Oreochromis niloticus: one gene and its partner. The protein of the gene in region 2 purifies or fractionates together with the protein of the main gene of each other region. This does not show direct contact. Links are inferred from orthologs where the notes say so. Each region holds a gene or a part of one and is shown on either strand. Other genes may lie near its edges.

Evidence for each region. The genes of interacting proteins can lie anywhere in the genome.
Region 1: the proteins of wdr12 (region 2) and bop1 purify together in Homo sapiens (affinity purification with western blotting; 6 studies listed by BioGRID and IntAct, with this or other methods). This does not show direct contact. The link is inferred for Oreochromis niloticus from reciprocal best matches to the Homo sapiens genes WDR12 and BOP1.

The regions. Positions count from the first base shown.
Region 1 is NC_031985.2:36,129,537-36,139,026, forward strand, and holds the start of bop1 (ribosome biogenesis protein bop1), read right to left. Parts: upstream 4,415-9,490; 5' UTR 4,303-4,414; coding exon 4,237-4,302; intron 3,593-4,236; coding exon 3,437-3,592; intron 3,323-3,436; coding exon 3,245-3,322; intron 1,407-3,244; coding exon 1,252-1,406; intron 1,173-1,251; coding exon 1,055-1,172; intron 890-1,054; coding exon 788-889; intron 708-787; coding exon 495-707; intron 390-494; coding exon 228-389; intron 138-227; coding exon 57-137; intron 1-56. Other genes in the region: lrp12 (low-density lipoprotein receptor-related protein 12), read left to right, coding at 6,376-6,430, 8,654-8,710, 8,806-8,941, 9,074-9,276, 9,365-9,490. UniProt on the Homo sapiens protein: Component of the PeBoW complex, which is required for maturation of 28S and 5.8S ribosomal RNAs and formation of the 60S ribosome.
Region 2 is NC_031986.2:736,678-747,131, forward strand, and holds the start of wdr12 (ribosome biogenesis protein wdr12), read left to right. Parts: upstream 1-5,994; 5' UTR 5,995-6,194; coding exon 6,195-6,235; intron 6,236-6,505; coding exon 6,506-6,600; intron 6,601-7,755; coding exon 7,756-7,850; intron 7,851-7,968; coding exon 7,969-8,075; intron 8,076-8,525; coding exon 8,526-8,641; intron 8,642-8,730; coding exon 8,731-8,885; intron 8,886-8,975; coding exon 8,976-9,021; intron 9,022-9,110; coding exon 9,111-9,196; intron 9,197-9,294; coding exon 9,295-9,435; intron 9,436-10,212; coding exon 10,213-10,318; intron 10,319-10,406; coding exon 10,407-10,454. Other genes in the region: nop58 (nucleolar protein 58), read left to right, coding at 39-202, 300-434, 2,290-2,351, 2,438-2,589, 2,670-2,800, 2,885-2,944.

The DNA of each region.
Region 1 (9,490 bases), on a different chromosome or scaffold from region 2:
TGAGAAAAGGTTCACCACTTTGTTTGTGTGCATGTGTTCAGGTGTGTGTGTTGTACCAGCGACTGTGTGGTGGGAAATGGCTGAAGGTCCTTTGGTTTGGGAAGCTGGGGAATCAGATCCTCTGGATTCACATTCACCTACATGCAGACAAACAGGAAATTATTTAAACCGCATGCCTAAAAGGGCAACTCCAGCTTCAGGTAGTAGGACAGACTGAGAAAGGTTACCCTCATCTTCCTCTGTCGTGGGCACAGATAAAGGTCCAGGCAGCGCTCAAACCTCTCATGGATGAAATGAGAAAATGCTGGAACCTGACGGAGGCTCGAGTACTTCCTTGGAACAAACGGCAACTTCCTGTCTCCTGGATCCTGCTGCTCCCACAGTGCTCGCTGCAGACAGGTGAGGCAAGTGAGGACAGACAGACGGGGGTGTGTTTGAATGCAGTTCTATCTATCCTCTGAACATAAACCAGGTGAGGCAACGCACTGACAAACCTCCTCGTCAGTGAACAGATACTCGGGTGGTGGGTTGTAGGACTCATGGTGACCAGGTAAAGGGATTTTGGGGGCAGGCAGGTGCATCCTATGTCTGGCCAGAATGGAAGAGTCCTCGCTGGCCCACAAGTCGTAATACCGCCCCCTGCCATCATCCTCTACCCGCCGGGGTTTGAGCCAACCCATTTTTATGGCATGGACCAGTTTGGACACCTGCAGTCAGACAGGTGTGTTACAGAGTTACAGTTACAGCTGAGAGCAGCCAGGTAAGCCAGGTGAGTCAGGTGCATTACCTTCTCCTTCTCTGTGAGCGAGGGGATAAAGCTGCGTTTGTCTGCCGGTCTGTTGGTGATGGGATGAATCATCACGTCGCTACTGAAGAATTCTACCATTGGCTGCGGAAGAGGTGTAAAGAGACAGGTAACCAGTGTGTTCTACATTTTTAAGCCACGCTCACTTCTTGCTAGATGGTCTGGGACATGTGGCTATTAAAGGATGGATTAAGCAGGTAAACTCAAGGCTAGTGAACGGAACCCCGGTGTCACTCTAGGAGGGCATACCTCATACTCATTGAAGTTGACGTCTCCAAACTGTCCTCTCTGCAGACGGTTCACCAGCTCCACCTGATCATCGGACAGCACAATGTCACTTCCTGTCTGCTTGTCATGCACTGTTCTCCTGCAGACAGCAAGCTGTTAGCTTCATCAGCATTCCCTATCAAACCTATGAAGAAGTTAGCATCATGCTAACCGCTCACCAGTACTCTGGGTTCTCCATCTTATCCAAGAAGTCATCAAGCTCATCCTTGTTCCTTATTGGCTTGTAGATTTTTTTCCCATCCAGATTGTACCCAATGTGAGGGAAATCTTTGTACCACTCAACAGGAATGTTCCCCACTGTGTTCCTGATATCCTGAAGGACAATGTGAGCATGAGAAACCACCACAGGATGGAGAGGGGAACATAAAAGAAGCCAATGCACCAATCAGAACATGTGTAAAGGAACAAGTATCCTGTACAAAACATGTTGTATTGTACCCACTTTAACAGGACAGTTGACAGGGGTTTGTCTTAGTTATGCTCACATATATCACAAGGCACATCCAGCAACACACAACACAGCATAACATGAAGCAAAATTCCAAAGGAACAGATCAGACATATAAAAGCAGTGTAGTCCATAAGAACGGGGTGGATCCATCTTTAAAGTGTGCTTTAGTGCGTGAGGTTCACTTTATACTCCAGATGCATGACACACAACACTGATGAGGGTCTAGAGCGATGTGAGCCAGATGCTTCCAATCTCAGTGCTGAAAGACCTTCATAATAACTGCAGTGAGAGCAGCAGGCCTGAAATCACCTTTTTCCCCACAACTGAATGCAATTTTATTTATGTAGAACCAAATCACAACAACAGTTGCCTCAAGGTGCTTTATATTGTAAGGTAAAGACCCAACAAAAACAAAAAAGAAAAGAAAACCGCAACAATACCCCTATGAGCAACCGCTGTGAAAACAGTGGGAAGGAAAACCTCCCTTTTAACAGGAAGAAAACTCCAGCAGAACTACGCAGCATTTAATAAATAATAATTAAATGCAAAGGGGTGTATAAACACAAAGTGAGTGAAAAAGTTGACTAAAAAAAAGAAACAATGGGAATCCCCCAGCAGTCTACACCTATTGCAACATAACTAAGGAAGGATTCAGGATCACCTGATCCAGCCCTAACTATATGCTTTAGCAAAAAGGAAAGTTTTAAGCCTAATCTTAAGAGTAGAGATAGTGTCTGTCTCCCGCATGCAAACTGATAACTGGTTCTATAGAGGAGGGGCCGGAAAGCTTAAGGCTATGTCTTCCATTCTACTTTTAAATACTCTAGGAAACACAAGTAAGACTGTAGTCTGACAACAAAGTGCTCTAATGGGGTGATATGGTACACTATAAGGTCATTAAGATAAGATGGGGCCTGATTATTCAAGAACTTGTACGTCAGAAGCCGGATTTTAAATTTGAATATGGATTTAACAGGAGCCAATGAAGAGAAGCTAGTACAGGAGAAATATACTCTCTCTTTTTAGTCCTTGTAAGTTCTCTCACTGTAGCATTTTGGATCGATTGAAGGCTTTTCAGGGAGTTTTTAGGACATCCTAGTAATCACAAATTACAGTAGTCCAACCTAGAAATAATAAATGCATGAACTAGTTTTCATGTCATTTCATCACAGCTTTTTCAGGCTAATAAAAGGTCAACATGAAACAGAGAACTCCAGAGCTTCACCCAGGATCTGTTGCATATAGACATGAGTCTACAACACTGAAGGTAAGCAGCTACCGAAAGGTTTAAGGTGGAATGGTTTCTTAAGTGAGCTCTCATCATAAACCAAACATCAGAACCTGGTGCACTGACCTACTAAGCATCAAAGATACCGTCAGCTGCATTTTCATTGCAGTATATCCATCGATCAGTGAGAGACTCATAATCACTGACTCAATAACCACACACAGACTGCAGCAAATTCTGGCCAGAGACTGGCCAATTATGTGTCCATCGATCCACCCCCACATGCAAACACACACACACACACACACACACACACACACACACACACACACACACACAAAAGAGCAAGGACCAGGAGCAAAAATCTCCCAGCTTTTTATTAGTGTGCATGTGGCTAAAATTGCATACAATACACCAGACACAGGCATAAGAAAAGTAATGACAAGCATACACATGAATAAGTTTTGATCACCTCTTCATCTGAAGAGTCATGTTCATACTCATCTTCCTTCTTTTCTTCACTCACTTCTTCCTCCGTTCTTTCCTTCATCTACAGATGGAACAAAGTTCAGGTGATGTTCTGCAGCAGAACACTGAGGACACTTAACAGCAACCAATCAGCAGTCAGACAAATACAGTTAAAACTTAGCTGCTGACACTGTACCTTGTCATCATCATCATCCTCCTCCTCCTCCTCGGATCCCTCTTCCCCCTCAGCGTCACTCCCAGAATCCTCCAGGCCTGAGTAGACACTGTCCTCGCTATCTGATAAATCATCATCCTTATCTTCATCAGCAGGTTTCCTGTTAAAGTTGAAGATCTGAGAAGGAAAACCCAGAATTACAGAGACACAATTGAAAAAAAACATCAGTTTTTGGCTGTGAGTGTAATTAAAAATAAGAAAAATAAAACCTACAAATCATTAGCACAAGCTAATTGCCTGTGCAATCTGTGAGTGATCACACACACACTTAAATCAAACAACCAGCAACTAAAAGCAAAACATGAAAAATCAGGAAAACCTTCTGTACTCTGCTCAGGATTGACGTCACTCAGTGCAACACTAACCGTACACATGTACCCTGACACACTACCTGCTACAGTGCTCGTTCCGTTACAGTTTTGCTGCCATTTACGTCACTGCTTCCATGTTGGATCGTTAGCTCTGGGTCGGTGAGGTTGCTCCGACAATGCGAGTTAAAATCTAAGTTGAGGAGGTCTTCCTTTTAAAACTCCGACATTATAATAGAGCCCTAACCCGAGGCTGACATCACACATGTGCACAGAGGATGGTTCTGTGTTTATTTTAGAAGCAGCAACGCCCCGGTCCGGTCTCATGGTTCAGGTCTCGCTCCGTGTCTGCTCTGAGGGCTAAACAGCAGCCTGCCCCGTATTAGCATGCTAGCTCGTTACTAGCACGTTACCAGATCTTCATCACTTTCCTCCTCTGTGTGTGTGGCTCACCTGGTTCTGTTCCTCTTCCTCTTCTTTACTCCTCTTCAACGCAGTTTTCTCCCCTGCTTTCTTCATCTCTCCTCTCCGCTCGCTCCACGCGTTTCTGTCCTCCTCGATTCAACCACGTGAAACCGAAGGTTAAAGGTCACGCGTCACAGGTTGAAGGCGGGGCCTGCTGATGACGCCTTGAACTTCTGGCAGAACGTCATAGTTACAGTGACAGGACCTCTGCCGAAAGAAAATCCGCAACGGAAAGAAAATAAAGACAAAGAAATCATGTTTATACTAACCGGAAGTAAAAAAAAAAAAATCTCAATGTGAACATGAAGTCATTTAAAAGCGAGTAAAGCTCAGTGACTGATCAAGCCCATGGACCAACCAGGTGTTAATATGTCAGTAAGTCAAAGCTTTTAAACCAGGATATGCAGTCATCCAAAACACAATAAATCTGAGCTGACAATCTCTGAAGCGTTTCTTCATGTTTACATTAGTTAACGGTTGCTGAAATCAAAGGCTAAGGCCCTCACTTCACTCTGTCTTCACACAGGAAGAAAATCCGCTGAGACCGTATCCTGCATCCCGCATCCTTCCATCAGGGGTACTTCAATTCTTGTACAGCTCCACTTTTCATATAATAAATCCCATAACATGAGTCTGCACATGAACCTGAGTGTCTGTGTGTGTGATTTTATTTCATATGAAATGTTCTAATTTCCTGATCAGATTACAATCAGACTGTCCACTCAGTCTCTCAGCTACAAAGATGGAGAATGGAGATTTGAATCTGAGCTGCTAATCAATCACTGATGGAGTCGTGGTCCCTGTCCTAATATATTGATGACTGATTCATTATTAAAGCTCTTGTGTAACAAACTAACATCTGTGTTTTTTATTGTTCGTGAAACTCGAGCAGATGAATTCTCTCCACTCTGAGCTCTGATTTCATGATTGAGGAAATCAGTCACAGGGTCAGTTAGCTGGTCCAGGTGCAGCAGGAGGTGAGGAGTCTGAGGGAACAGCTGCCAGAGAGCAGGTCAGGTTCACAGAGCTGAAGGTGGATCTCTGCGTGGAACAGAAAAGCTAGTTTCAGCTGAGGATTAAAAATCTCAGAGTTGTTAGAAAAAACTGCTTCCAGCTGCAGGCTGCAGGTCCAGCACAAAGTGGGTAGCAAAGGGTGTGTGTGTGTGAGTGTGTTTGGGGAGGTGAGTGCTGCAGCACCTCTGAGGGTTCACAGACAACAGATGTTCTGTTCTGCAAATACTGCATCTGTTAGTGACAAATCTCTCTCTCTCTCTCTCTCTCTCTCTCTCTCTCACACACACACACACACACACACACACTAACTCAGTTACTGACACACATGCAGATATGTTAGATAGAAAGCACTTAAGCATGTAAAGCTTATGAGTTGCTGTATGAGGCATATTGAGTGCTCAAGTGCAGTAGAAAAGCGCTTTAGAAGAACCGGTTCAACTAAACACACGGCCATATGTTCACTACATAGATGTAGTGAATATTTGAAGGAAGTTCGGCTCTGTGATTAATGAAGTGCCTTGACATCTTCAGGAAACAGGAAGTTCACATAAACGAACAAATGACAAAAACGGCGGGGCCATGTTAGTGACGCCACTGTCAAAGGGGCGGGGATTCTCTCTGCGGTCTGTTGTTGTTGTTCGGCTCGACGGAAGCTAAAACCTAACAGCTTCGCACGGAAATGCGCTCACGACTTCTATCAGATCGACAGTAGTGCTGCTGACTCGGTGAAGGTCCCGTGAGCTCGGATTGACCCGGTTCGCCCCCCCCCCCTCTGGGTCGGATGACTCTGTCCCGTTAGCATGTTGAAGCTAACGGGCCGGTGTTCTTAGCGTCAGCCTGTTAGTCGGCAGCTAGCGGGTCTTTGTTTCCGAGCTAACCGAGGTTCTTCGCAGTATGTCCCGCTGCGTACCCCCCGCACAGCTCGATTCCGCGTTAACGTCACGTTCAGCGGCTCGCGTCTGTGTTAATTGAATGCCGGGTTTATCGGGGAGCTCCGTTATCCTCGGTAGCCGCTCGGTTCGGAGCCGAGGTCTGCTAACAGCTGACATGCAGCGCTCAGCTCTGTGACCTTGGACTCTTCACCATTATCTTCATCAGAACATCAGGGTTATCATGGCCCTCAAAACAGACTGCAGGCAGGGTGTGGTTTGCCTCCTCCTCCTCACAGGTGAGTGCAGACTGACCTGTTTTCAAGTGTGTACACTTGTGTTTTGTTCTGATGACGCCGGGTCCGGTCTCTTTAAGACTTCCCCCTTCCTGACAACTTACTTTCTCTTGAATAAAGTGGTTCTGGAAGATTGCAGGAGGGCAGAGCTGTACACCTGTAACCATTTAAGGACAGAGTATCACAAGCTAATGTTACTTAATTTAATGTTTAACATGGACATGTGGCAAGAAGTGATTGTGGGCACTTATTATCACCAAGATTTTATGTCCCAAAAACCTGGACCTAAATCTGTAATATTTCACAGTACAGATCTTACTGCACCATCCAGTCTGCTCTGAATCCACCAGTAGAGAAAGAGGAAGTACAATGGAGAGGCAGATGTGGAAGGACAGAACATCTAGTGGTGGCTCAGAACAGCTGGAAATGGCTCTTACAGATTACTTTACATTTGGTCTGCTGTGATCAATGGACAGGTGTCACTACAGTCATTCTTCATTTCTTCTGTGTAGTAAGCATAGCAGTTGGCAGATATCAATCAGTTTCTATTAAAGCTTGAAGATGTTGAGCATGGTTCAGTAATAATACCAATCATGATAATGAAACGGTCTATGTAAGTGATCAGGGCTTCACAAGTATCTTAACAGGGACCACCTTCTCTTAACCACTTTGGGCTGGAGTCAGAATGACAGGCTGGTACACCTGACTAGGTTCCCTGTCCGTCACAGGGCTAGCACTTACCACCAATAAGAATCACCAGTTGACCAGCAAGCTTTTCTTTAGTCTGTAGGAGAACAGATACCACAGAAAGGACAGGAAGTCTGATCCTTCTTCCTGTAACAGCTGTAACCACTGCAACACTTGACCTTAGACTGCTTTATGACACAACTACACTAAAACTGGCATAACAGCACCCCTGGTGGTCAAACTTGTAACATTTGATTATCATTTTTTGAAAATTAACAATGTTGAGCATTGGCCAGCTATTTGACCCTGCAAGATTGAGCATTCTTTAAGATGCCAAATTTTCAAAATAGAGTCCTCCCATTAAGTATCATCTGCTATCTTCCTTCAACATTTTATCCATCCTGTTTAACTTTATGTCTTTTTTACATGTAACATTTAACAAGAACTTGCTGGATGTAGAACACTGTGTTGAGACCACAGACAGGATAAACGATGGCCCAAGCTTGTGTATGTGAAAAGCAAAACATGCATTCTTTTTTCTAATGGTCACCAAGGCCAATTACCTGTAGTTCTATACAAGTCTGTGTGAAACCTGACCTCTGACCTCCGTAAAGATGTTCCCGATTAGTTTAGGGGCTCAGTCACTTGTTTGAGTGATTTAAATATGAAGTCCTGATTACTAAGGATATGCTAATGACTGATTGGCAGGTCATTAGCCAATGATGCGGCAGTTTCACAGTGAGCTCCAGCTCTCACTCTTCAGATGTGGTTTTAAAACAGCAAGATGGCTGCAGCAAAAACTCTCAAAGCTTCATAATATAATTGTAAACTGATTGCAAAAGTCCTTATCTGACCTTCAAGGGGGACAGAGGCAAGCGTTTTCATCACACTGTCAAGCCATTTTTATAAAAAGGGTGGGGATAATCTGAGTCCATGATCTAAACATGTACAAATAAGCGGCTCATGAATCAGCCTGATCACCTGGCATACTGTCTCTGTGCATGGTTTTCCAGCTGCACAGGAGCACAGAAGAGAGCATTACGCAGAGTTGTACAGGTTGCCTAGCGGATAGTCAGATGTCCTCTCCTCCTCTTTTCTCAGGAAGATTAACAAATTCCTTCAAGACCCATCGCACTCTGGTCATGTACTGTTTCAACATCTACCTTCAGGCAGACATTTCAGATCCATAAAGACAAAAATTAACAGACTAAGGAACAGCATTATCCAGCTGTTCATCAGCTGTATGTCACCCTGTTATCAATATAGCTGGGATAGCTCAGTAGGTAGAGTGGTGGCCCCATGATCAGAAGGTCGAGGGTTCGAATCGACTGAACAGCTACCCTGAGGTACCCCTGAGCAAGGTACCGTCCCTACACACTGCGTACCGGGCAGCCAGTGGCTGCCCACTGCTTCACTGAGTGAATGGGTTAAATGATGAGAGGAAATTCTCCACGGGGATCAATAAAGTATACATTATTACATTATTATTATTATATGAAATCACTTCTAACCACGTGTTGTTGTGTTTTTTTTCCCCAGGATGCTTTTCTGCCTCTCAGAGGAATGAAAATGTCTATGTGTCAGGGATTTCTAATGGTGAGGTCACATTCATGACATCAGAGCAGCACTAATGGCACACACACACCCACAAACACACAGTGTCACACTAACAGTCCGACCCTGCCCCCCAGCCTGCAGTGACGTGGCAGAGCTCCTGCGGGCATCCAGCGGTATAATCACCAGCCCCGGATGGCCCTTCCAGTATCCAGCCCGAATGAACTGCAGCTGGAATATCAGGGCACGACCTGGAGATGCCATCACCATCAGGTACTGCACTTACTGTCTCCATAGTTACACCTGCCACATCCACATCAGGTCACAGAGTAAAAAGCAACAACCAAATCCTCATTTTAACCCCATCTTTGCTCTCATGATGCCCTCCCTGTTCTGTCTTTGCAGCTTCCAGGACTTTGACCTACAGGGTTCCCATCGCTGCACCTCAGACTGGATGTCCATCAGCAGCTACAGGAACCTGGATGGACTCCGGGTTTGTGGCTCCTCCTTGCCACCACCCTACATCTCCTCTCAGGACCATTTGTGGATCCACTTCCACTCGGATGACAGCCTGACGGGAAAAGGCTTCAGACTGTCATACATCAGCGGTGAGGAAACGGGATGTGGTATTGGTGATGTAACTGGAGTAGAGGCTATTCCTGGATGGGAAACAAGTAAGATTTGTTGTGTTTGCAGGTAAGCCGCTGGCATCCAGCTGTGATGTGGACCAGTTCCACTGCTCAAATGGGAAGTGCATCCCAGACTGGTGGCGCTGTAACTCCATGGACGAATGCGGTGACAATTCAGATGAAGAGATGTGTG
Region 2 (10,454 bases):
TAGCTACAGTTCTTTGTTTCATTCATTGTGCGATCCAGGTTCCCTTCTGAATCTGGCAAAGCATCCAGCCTCCACAGTCCAGATCCTTGGAGCAGAGAAGGCTCTTTTTAGAGCCCTGAAGACGCGCAAAGACACACCCAAGTATGGTCTCATATACCATGCTTCTCTAGTGGGCCAGACCACTGCTAAGAACAAGGGCAAGGTATGTTCTTAGAGTGTGATATGTGACTGAATAATGGTTGGTGGCCAAAATGTGAAGCTGTCAACTCAGGCTTTGGTTTTCTGTAATGCCATTGCAGATTTCCAGGATGCTGGCAGCTAAAGCAGCCCTGGCTATTCGCTATGACGCTCTCGGAGAAGACACAAATGCAGAAATGGGTGCAGAGAACCGTGCCAAGCTGGAGGCCAGACTACGTCAGTTGGAAGATAAGGGAGTAAGTACAGCTACAACCCCTATTCCTGAAAAGTTGGGATGCTATTTAACCTCCTGGGACCTGGCGTCCACGTATGTGGACATCACATTTTGGGTTGTCTAGACCAAAATACTAAATTTTGCTCTGCAAGGGCCTGATATCCACTTACGAGGACATTATACTGCCATTGTTCTATCGAAATTTAAAACAAATGTCCTCATAGGGCTGAGTGATATGGCCTAAAATCCATATCACAGTATAATTTGAAGCATGTGTGGTAACGATATATATCACGATATATTCTTTTCTTCTGTATAACGTATTTTACACACTATAAGGCACACTTAAAATCCTTTAATTTTCTCAAAAATCGACAGTGTGCCTTATGTATGAATTCTGGTTGTGCTTACTGACCTCGAACCGATTTTATGTGGTTCACGGCGCTCAGAAATCGGTCAAAAAATGTTTTAATACGACTTTGGTAAGCTATGAAGGCGCACCGCTTGATGGATTGCCGGAGCATTACGGCTGCTGTAGTCAGGAGCCTTGTGGAGTAATCTGGGTCCCAAACTCTGTCTACTTCAGGTCCCAAAGTCAAACAAACACTGCGGCATCGCTGAGAGTTAAAAACTGTGTAAATTCTTTCATTTTTAATAAAATGATCAGTGTTGCTGCTTTACCAGGTGTAACAATTAAGTTTAACATCCAGGCATCCATGAAAACAGAATTTATTAAATTCAACGGAGTTAGAAGTTAGCGGAAGTTAGCTCGCTAGTTTCCACCTAAACATGATATAGCATGTTCTGACTGAGATTTCTGAAAAAATTAAAATGTACAGCTCTGCTGTCACTTCCAACATAAATGAAGGGAGAAAATTAAACAGCAGTGACGTTGGTAGGGTTACTGAAGTTGGACTAGCTGGTATATAATGATGTGCTACGTGATTGCTAGCAAAACAGCTACGTTAGCATAACATTAGCACAGTGAAGCTGAAGGATGAATGCCAACTTTTTTCCACTCGATTAAAGTTTACATGAGGGTTTCTGGTGGTTAGGGACTAATGCAATTGCATGGCAGAATGCTGTAAACGGAGCAAACTTCAGCCAGGAGAACAACAGAGCTAATCCATCCACGATATGAGGTTAGTCATTACTATACTGCAACAACATGGGAATAGAGCAGCTGCGAGAGAATTCAGCATTAATGAATCAATGGTACGGAAGTGGAGGAAGCGCAGTTTTTGGCTTTCCCCATGTTCCAAAAGTGCTTTGTCTCTTTGCTATTACTGTCGCCTGGCATAATTTGGAGATGATATTGTTTGCAGCGTATACCTTTCAGTATTGATGGTGCCTCTCCAGATGTGACAGTTGCATAACCATTAATCCATTCCTGTACTATCAGAGATGCAGGCTTTTGACCGTAGTGCTGATAAGAAGCCACATGGCCTCTCGTCCCTATAGTTCACAGGACTTGGTATCCCTATTTACCAGAAAGAACTGCAAATTTGATTTGTCTGATCACAGGACAGTTTCTCGTTTTGCTTTAGTCTGAACATTAGCCCTAAGAACACAACATCAGTTCTGGGTTATGTTCACAAATGTGGCTGTACCTCAGGAGGTGGAGCAGGTCATCTACTAATTGGACGGTTCGCCATTCCATGTCTGGCTGCTCCAGTCTCCCCAATCCTTGAGGAAGATACTAAATGCAAGTAGTATCTTGGTCCAATAGTGCACTTTGAGTGTCCAGGGAGAAAAGTGCTATATGCAAACTGTAATGGAGTTTTGTATTTCTTCTGAATCTGTTATCCTGGTAAAATCCCTGTTTTTGTTATTTTTTTCCCCTCCTTTAGTCACTGAATCCACATTTTTCTTTTCAGATTCGAAGAATCAGTGGAACAGGCAAAGCAATGGCAAAGGCAGATAAATACCAGCACAAGAGGTGAGTAGTCACTTGCAGCTCCTTTGCAGATTTCCACATCTATATATGTAAGGTGGTTAATGCCTGCTACAACTTTTCCTCCACAGTGAAGTGAGAATTTATGATCCGTCAGGTGATTCTACGATTCCGTCCACATCGAAGAAGAGGAAGTTTGAGGAGGTAGAAGAAGAGGATGCCACAGAGCCCACGACACCAGCAGTCAAACCCAAAAAGGCAAAACAGGAGTTGGCAATAGAAGGTGAGTGAGTTTGGAATCAATCATTTGCCTCCTGTGCATTTGGATCTGTGATGCTGATAGTGTTCTGGCTCTGTGTTTAGAAGAAGAACAAGCAGAAACATCAGCGGCAGCAGAGGAGACCCCAAAGAAAAAGAAGAAGAAAAAGAAGGATAAGAAAGCAGAGGAGAAAATGGAAGAACCAAAGGAAGAAGAGGTGGTAGCAGTTACTGAGGTAAGATGGAAGCTAAAGTTTTAAAATTATCCCTTTTTTTTTCTTCTTCTTCTTCTGTAATGACACCCCTCTCTCTCTCTCCAGACAACAGAGAAGAAGAAAAAAAAGAAAAAGAAGGTAAAAGAGGAGCAGGAAGAAGATTGAAAGGAGAGGAGAGTGTAAATAGTTTTGTTTTTTTGTCTTTTATTTTTATTATTCAATTATATTTTCTGAGGACAATACAGTATTGAGTGCCTGTCTGTGGACATCTGAAAAGAAGTTCACAGTAAACAGAGTAATCATTAGATCTCATTCTTTTCTGTTGTCATAAAGAAACTGTACAATAAGTCTTTTTTTCTTTTTTCTTTTTCTTTTTTTTGAAGATGCTTAAGCTTAATCTACCAAAAGCCTGTGTAGACGAGCATTTGTTTTATTCACAAAGAGATCTAATTGAGTCATGAGTTCAGTACAGATTTCCCAGTTCTCTTGTGATAAACAAAACCAGGTGAAATAAAACCTTTTGCTCAAATGCTGAGTGTGTGTGTGTGTGTGTGTTTGTTTGTTTTTTGCACAAATAGGTGCATCCAGCAGGGGTGGGAAGTAATTAAGTACAAATACTTCACTTATTGTACTAACTAGTTTTAGCTGTCTGTACTTGAGTATTTATTTTTCTGACTACTTTTACTCCCTATATTTTTCCACAAAACTTTCTACTTATATTTTCAAAACAGATTTGTTACTTTAGGTTCAGTGGTATCATCTAAAGTGTTATAAGTGAGTTTTTTCTAAGTAGCATGTAATTTCAAATTCAACATTTTTATCAGCTAAACAAATGTCAGCAAACTGTGTGAACACAGTGTGTCTGCTAGCTAAAGGTACAGCTGCTGGGTTTCCCAGGGAGAGAAAAGAGTAACTTCACTCAGAGATAGAAAAAGATATAGGATAAGTTTTTTTTTTTTTTTTTTTTTAAGCCTCATGCCCAGTACATTTGAACTTGAATCAAAGTGTTTGGGAAAGTGTCAAATTTTGGTCCTATAACATGTGAGGGTAGGGTGTCCCACCTCATATCCTGACATAGTCATAGGACTGCATGGTGTGAGAACGTGTTTGCTCTAGTAATTATATTTTTAATGACTTGAACTCTAAATAAAAGAAAAAAGAAACGTGAGTGTAAAGATACAACATTGTGTGGATGACCAAATGGTGCCATTTAAGGGCAAGCAAATTCAAGCAGTACCTAACCAGTAAATTAAGAAAACAGAATTTGAAAATATTAGTCCTTGCTGTATCAATTCAAAAAATGAAGCAAGGTGGCAGGTGGTCGCCCCTCCCTGAGTCTGGTTCTCCTGGAGCTTTTATCCTGTTAAAAGGGAGTTTTTCATTCCTCCTGTAGCCAAGTGCTTGATTTTAGGGGGCCGTCAGAGTTTTCTCTGTATTGTTGTGGGTTCATACATTAGAATATAATCCACCTTGAGGGAATTTCTGTTGTGATTTGGCGGAATACAAGTGAAATTGCATTAACTCGAATAAGGCAAGATGCATGTGTATAAAGTGAATTGTGCACCTCTGCTTTACAGCACAGAAGAACTGTTAAGAAAAGTTTCACACACTGTCAGAGAATGACAGCAAAATCTCACAACATGAGAATCTATATTCGAACCTAAGCCTGTATCAAGCCATACTTAGTTATTTGTTTCAAAACTGGTTGACATTTTTTGAATACTTAAAAAATATATTTTTCGCTTTCTAACAGCTGTGTAATTATTTATGAGTTAATAATTTTCTCTGTTGATGTATGCCACTGTTGGAGAGGGGTTGTCTGAAATTTAAAATGATTTATTTTGGCACTAAAATGGTCCAAAATGACTCAGATCATTTTCAGCATGTACCATCAAAATGTGTGCAGTAGAGGGTTAAGGCCACATTAAGGAAAATAAATATTGTTGTTCATTTTGAGAATAAAGTCCAAATATTGAGATTAAAGTTGAAAGTGTATTTTGAGGAAAAGTCAAATTGTGGAGATTACAGTTGTTTCAAGACAAACCATACTTCAGAATCAGAATCAGAATCGGTAACAAGAAAGTAAAATTATTTCTCTTTTAGCTCATAGACACAGTGTGGTGATCAGTATAAAGACATTAAGAAGATGGTGTAGAAAGCTGGATCTGGTTAGATGGAAAACAAAGGAAATGGCTCTTAATGGACAGATGCAAGGTTATTGATGATTACACCCTCATGTAATAAAGATGATGTGTCAAAAGACAGCTGATCAGTTTGTTTCACTAAGCTATCTAAACAATGAATTGTAATGGGTATAGCAGTTTGTCTTGAAACAACAATGGCTTCACATGTCAACTTTTTTTCTCAAAATAGATGTTCGACTTAATCTCGAAATTTTTACTTTACTCTCAAAATGATGAACAATATATTTTTTTCTTAATGTGGCCCCAATAATCCCCCCACCTGCTGAATCCCACCGTAACCCCTGACTTTTCTTATTTTACTGTTTAGGTGTGGAGGCAAAGTCACCCTCTACAATGTAGGCAATAGAAAATAGGTATAAAATGTACCCAAACCGAGTACATTAATTTGAATCAAAATTTAAATTACAATAATATTTATATTTTCATTTTCTAATATTATTTTATTATTACATTTATATAGTATAAGGTTCAGTTACCTTTGTACAAAAATGATTATAAAAATTTTCCTTCATGGAGCTCATTTTTACTTTCTTTCTTTGAGTACATTTCGGAGTTTGTACTTTTGCTTTAGTAAAGAATTTAAATTTTCAATTAGGCAACAAACATTTAAACCCTTTGAAGCTCTCATTACATGTAAAGGCGATATACTCAGACCTGATGCTTTGGACTCATGTTTAAACTCATGTGCTAATACAGAGTATTGTCAGGTGAAGCTAACCTTTGTTTTTATTGATTAAAAGTGCTGATAAGCTATCAGAAGTTATGACGAAACTTTGATATTAGTTATTTTTGTTCACCCAATGTAAATAAAAAATATTATTTCTATTAAATTCCACCGTGTATACTGACATTCACATCGATGAATGTAAATAGCAGTCTCTAGATCTTTTAGGTCATTATTAATACAAATATTTTACATTGAGGTTCATCTAATCATCGTAACAACTGGTTCGTAGAGGATTTATCATTAAAACATTGCCGATGAGTCCTGCCATCCTAAGGAAGTCCGAACTCCCGAGTGACCGAGCTTGGGAGAAGCGGAAGCAAAGTTCGCATACTGGCCAGGCGTCACTAGACGAACACAGAGCATCTACTTTTCGTATTGCAGTGGTTTGTTTCGTACCACATGGCATAACTGCACGAGAAGCGCGTTATGAGGATTCCTTGTATTTTAATATTCTAGAGCTCGTGGTTGGCAAAATAAGCACAAAATGTCTCAGATACAGGCAAGATTCTTCACAGAAGACAAAAGGTGAGGTTTAAAAGAAAAAAAAAAACCTCAACAGAAAATGACAAACAAGCAAGCGAGCTAGCTAACTTGCTAGCTGTAATTTAGAGTAAACAGCATCGTCTCATTGTGGGATGTTCTGTCTTTTCCTCTTGCAAATAAATTCTTTTTTTATCTGTAGTTCTGATCGTGGCTAATTCGTAGCTATGTTGTTTTTTTTTTTTAAAATGCTAATGCTAACAGTGTGAAGTTATGTAGACTCCGGTAGCAGCTAAAATGTGTCTATCTCTGTAGGTACGTTGTAGATGATGTCCCGTTCTCCATCCCAGCTGCATCCGAAGTGCAGGAACTCAGCAATGTAATCAACAAGCTGCTGGAAGCTAAAAATGGTAAGCTCACTTTATCATAGGCACACAAACTATTCCCCACCTCCTTTACAATTCAGCCTCCAGCTGCAGAACTGTAAACACAGATTAAATAGCATTATAATCCTAATCCTCAATCACAGGGGCGGATCTACATATGGTGGCACCGCATGGCGGATCTACAGGGGTGGCATGGGGTGGCATGCCCTAAAATATTCTCTTGCCACCCTAGTTTTGCATATGACAGTGTTGTTTATTAAAATAAGATAGCATTAACACTTCGAGCCTAGCTAAAATTAACATTGAATATGAATTCTAAAACTGAATTTAGATCAACTTTATTTCTTGTTGTCCATAGCAACCGATGCTTACGATTGTGCCAGAGTACATTTTGAATCAATGCCATGGGCATTTTTAGATTTCACACAGGCGTTGATTGTTACACTCTGGGGTCGATGGACACACCTCATCTCCAAATCACCTGACCGATTTAAGATGCCATAGCAACAAGCTGCAGCCACGTTGAGTCTCCATTCAACTTGTGTTGAAAGTTCAGACTTCAAACTATACACCAGTTTTTAAATTTTATTGATAGGCCACTAAATCCAGAGCTACGATCATAAAAATACACGTGATGCTTTCTTCTACTATCATCACATTTAGTGTGGGATGAAATGGTAAAAAGTGTGTTTTCTAAGGACGGCACAAAAAAAGTTCAGGAAAAAATGCCACCCCTTTTGTATTGGTGTAAAAGTGTACCATATTGACCAACAAAAAAAATATTGTCAACACATGGGATTTGGTTATTTTGGAAGGGGTGAATGTTTTCAGAATGACGGCTGTGGGAGAGAGAAAGAGAGAGCGAGTGTCTCCAGGTGAAGAACAGACGGAGTGATGCACCTCCTGCTGTCAGGCCTGCAGGGTTTAGGCCTGTGGTGTTCTCCTCTCTCTTGTGGCAGACAAAATATTTTTTGCACTGGCGCAAATACTGTGTGTGTCACCTTTTTGTGGCACCTGATTGTTCTGTAAATTTAGTTTTAGTAGTATTTTTAATTGGTTGCACTATATATATATATATATATATGTGTGTGTGTGTGTGTGTGTGTGTGTCAAATTTAGTCCTTATCACAGACTGTACTTGTAAAATTCTCCAGATAATTTATTTGGTTCTCTTCACAGCTTCTCACAGTAAAGTGGAGTTTGACTTCCTGGTCAGGGGTCAGTTCCTGCGAACCTCACTGTCAGCTCACATGGAGACAGAGAGTATATTAACGGTATGGCCTGCTATAGTGCTTAAACTCGTATGGATATATTGTATAAAGCGAGTCATAAGCATCCACATGAGTAAAACAACATTAACCAGATGTTTTACTCTGTTTGCCCGTGTCTCAGGAAGAAGTTGTGGAGATAGAATACGTGGAGCGGATCACGGCCCCAGAACCCGAGGAGTGCATGATGCATGATGACTGGATTAGCTCTGCAGATGCTGATGCTGAATGGTAAGATGGTTGAGAGCAGATCATTAGTGTGCTTTTTATTAAGTGGGAAATTAGCTCAGCAAAGATTCAGTTGTGATATGTTCATATTTTCTTTTGTCTTCTTGGTTGTTCATTAGCTAAACAAAAGTCTTAAACCGCCCCTTATTCTTTACCTTTTACTTCCAGGGAGCCAGACTTTCTATTCCTTTTAAAGTGGTCCAGAGCAATAGTGCTGCAGGCTTTCTGAAAGTCTTGTCTATTTTTTCTTTGGACATTGGCTTCTTTTTCAGTTCAGTTCTTGTACTTTGACCATAAAGGGATTAACCAGTGCTGTATACATAACGGACAACATGGCAAAGAACCAGAAGAAGCTTGAAGCTTCTATATGAAAATATTGTGAAACTGAAGATGTTCGAGCAGAGGGTTCATAATGATTTGAAAATGGAATGACCCTTATTTTTTCCCCTGCAGGATCTTAACAGGGTCATACGACAAGACTGCCAGAATTTGGTCTACTGAGGGCAAGCCTGTGATGACTGTGCCTGGACATACAGATGTGGTCAAAGACGTAGCCTGGGTCAAAAGAGGTGAGTGGGACAAAATGAAACAGACAAGTACTGCTATGTTAATAGTCAAAGGCTTTATTAAGTCCTCTTTGTGGATGTTTTCTGTGTAGAGGGTCTGACCTCTCTGCTTCTGACGGCCTCTCTGGACCAAACCGTGTTACTGTGGGAGTGGAACTCTGAGAGAAACAAGGTGGAAGCCAGACATTGCTGTCGTGGACACGCGGGGAGCGTTGACACCATTTCTGTAGACCCCACAGGAACGAAGGTAAGGTTGGAGAGGGCAAGACAAAAACTCAAAAGACAACAAAGAGTGCTGCGATTAATGACTTTGGATGTTTGTGGTAAACACTTTCAGTTCTGCAGTGGCTCTTGGGACAAAATGTTGAAGATCTGGTCAGCAGGTATGATCCCAGAATGATTCAAGGACTCTTTATTGTTAAAAAAGGTATTGTTGTGAGGCTGCTACAAACTATATTTCCTGTGCTGTCAGTGCCTACAGATGAGCAGGATGAGATCGAGGAGCCGGCTGACAGACCGAGGAAAAAACAGAAGACTCAGCAGCTCGGCCTGACCAGGGTGAGTGCACAACCAGAGTATGATTGACTGGAGAATAAGCCCGCTAAGTCATTGCAAAATGAGTTGGGGTTTTTTGTTTTGTTTGTTTTTTGACACAGACTCCCTTGATGACATTGTCGGGACACAGCGAGGCAGTGTCATCTGTCCTGTGGTGTGACAGTGAGGAGGTTTGTAGCGCGTCTTGGGACCACACCATCCGCATATGGGACGTCGATACTGGAGGGATGAAAACTACGTTGGTGAGAAAAATAGAAAGTGACTGAATTAGCAATAATAAAGACTTTTGGTTGTTTCATGTGACAGATTAATGAGCATCATCCTACATCGTGGCTCAAGAGTTGGCAGTTTGTCTTGTAATCGGAAGGTTGCCTGTTCAAGCCCGATTTCTCCGACAGTCTTGGTCGTTGTGTCCTTGGGCAAGACACTTCACCCGTTGCCTACTGGTGGTGGTCAGAGGGGCCCGGTGGCGCCAGTGTCCGGCAGCCTCGCCTCTGTCAGTTCGCCCCAGGGCAGCTGTGGCTACAATGTAGCTTGCCATCACCAGTGTGTGAATGCGTGGATGACTGAATGTAGTGTAAAGCCTTTGGGGTCCATAGGGACTAAGTAAAGCGCTATACAAATACAGGCCATTTACCATTTACAGGCTTTTATTTTGTTAGCTATGTCACAGAGGGTATAAGGTATCACAGGTATAAATGATAAAAAGACTCAGAGCCACAATTTGACTTGTTTCTTCAGTGTATGAGTGATTTAAAATGCCTATAATAGAGGAAATCAAACCAGTGAAATACACTACGTATTACTGCTATATGCCTGTGTGTAGTGGATGTATGCAATGCGTGTCCTTAAAATATTTACCCAACCCTAAGATAAATCTTAGGGTTACAGACTAATTCAAAACTCAGTTAACGGCTCAAATCGTTTGAAATAGCATATTTATCAACCACCAAGTTTACCTTTTGTTATCATATACTCAGTTTTCCAGTATTTACCAGTTTGACTTTTTCTTTTCACAGACTGGCAGCAAAGTGTTTAACTGTATTTCCTACTCACCTTTGTGTCGACGGCTAGCCTCAGGTAGCACCGATAGACACATCCGACTGTGGGACCCTCGCACCAAAGGTACAACTGTTCTAAATGTCACAGGGATCTATGTGTTGACTTTTGTTGTTTGTCACTCTTGTTATCTTTACAACTCCTCTTCTTTCAGATGGGTCTCTTGTTCTGCTGTCGCTGACCTCTCACACTGGCTGGGTTA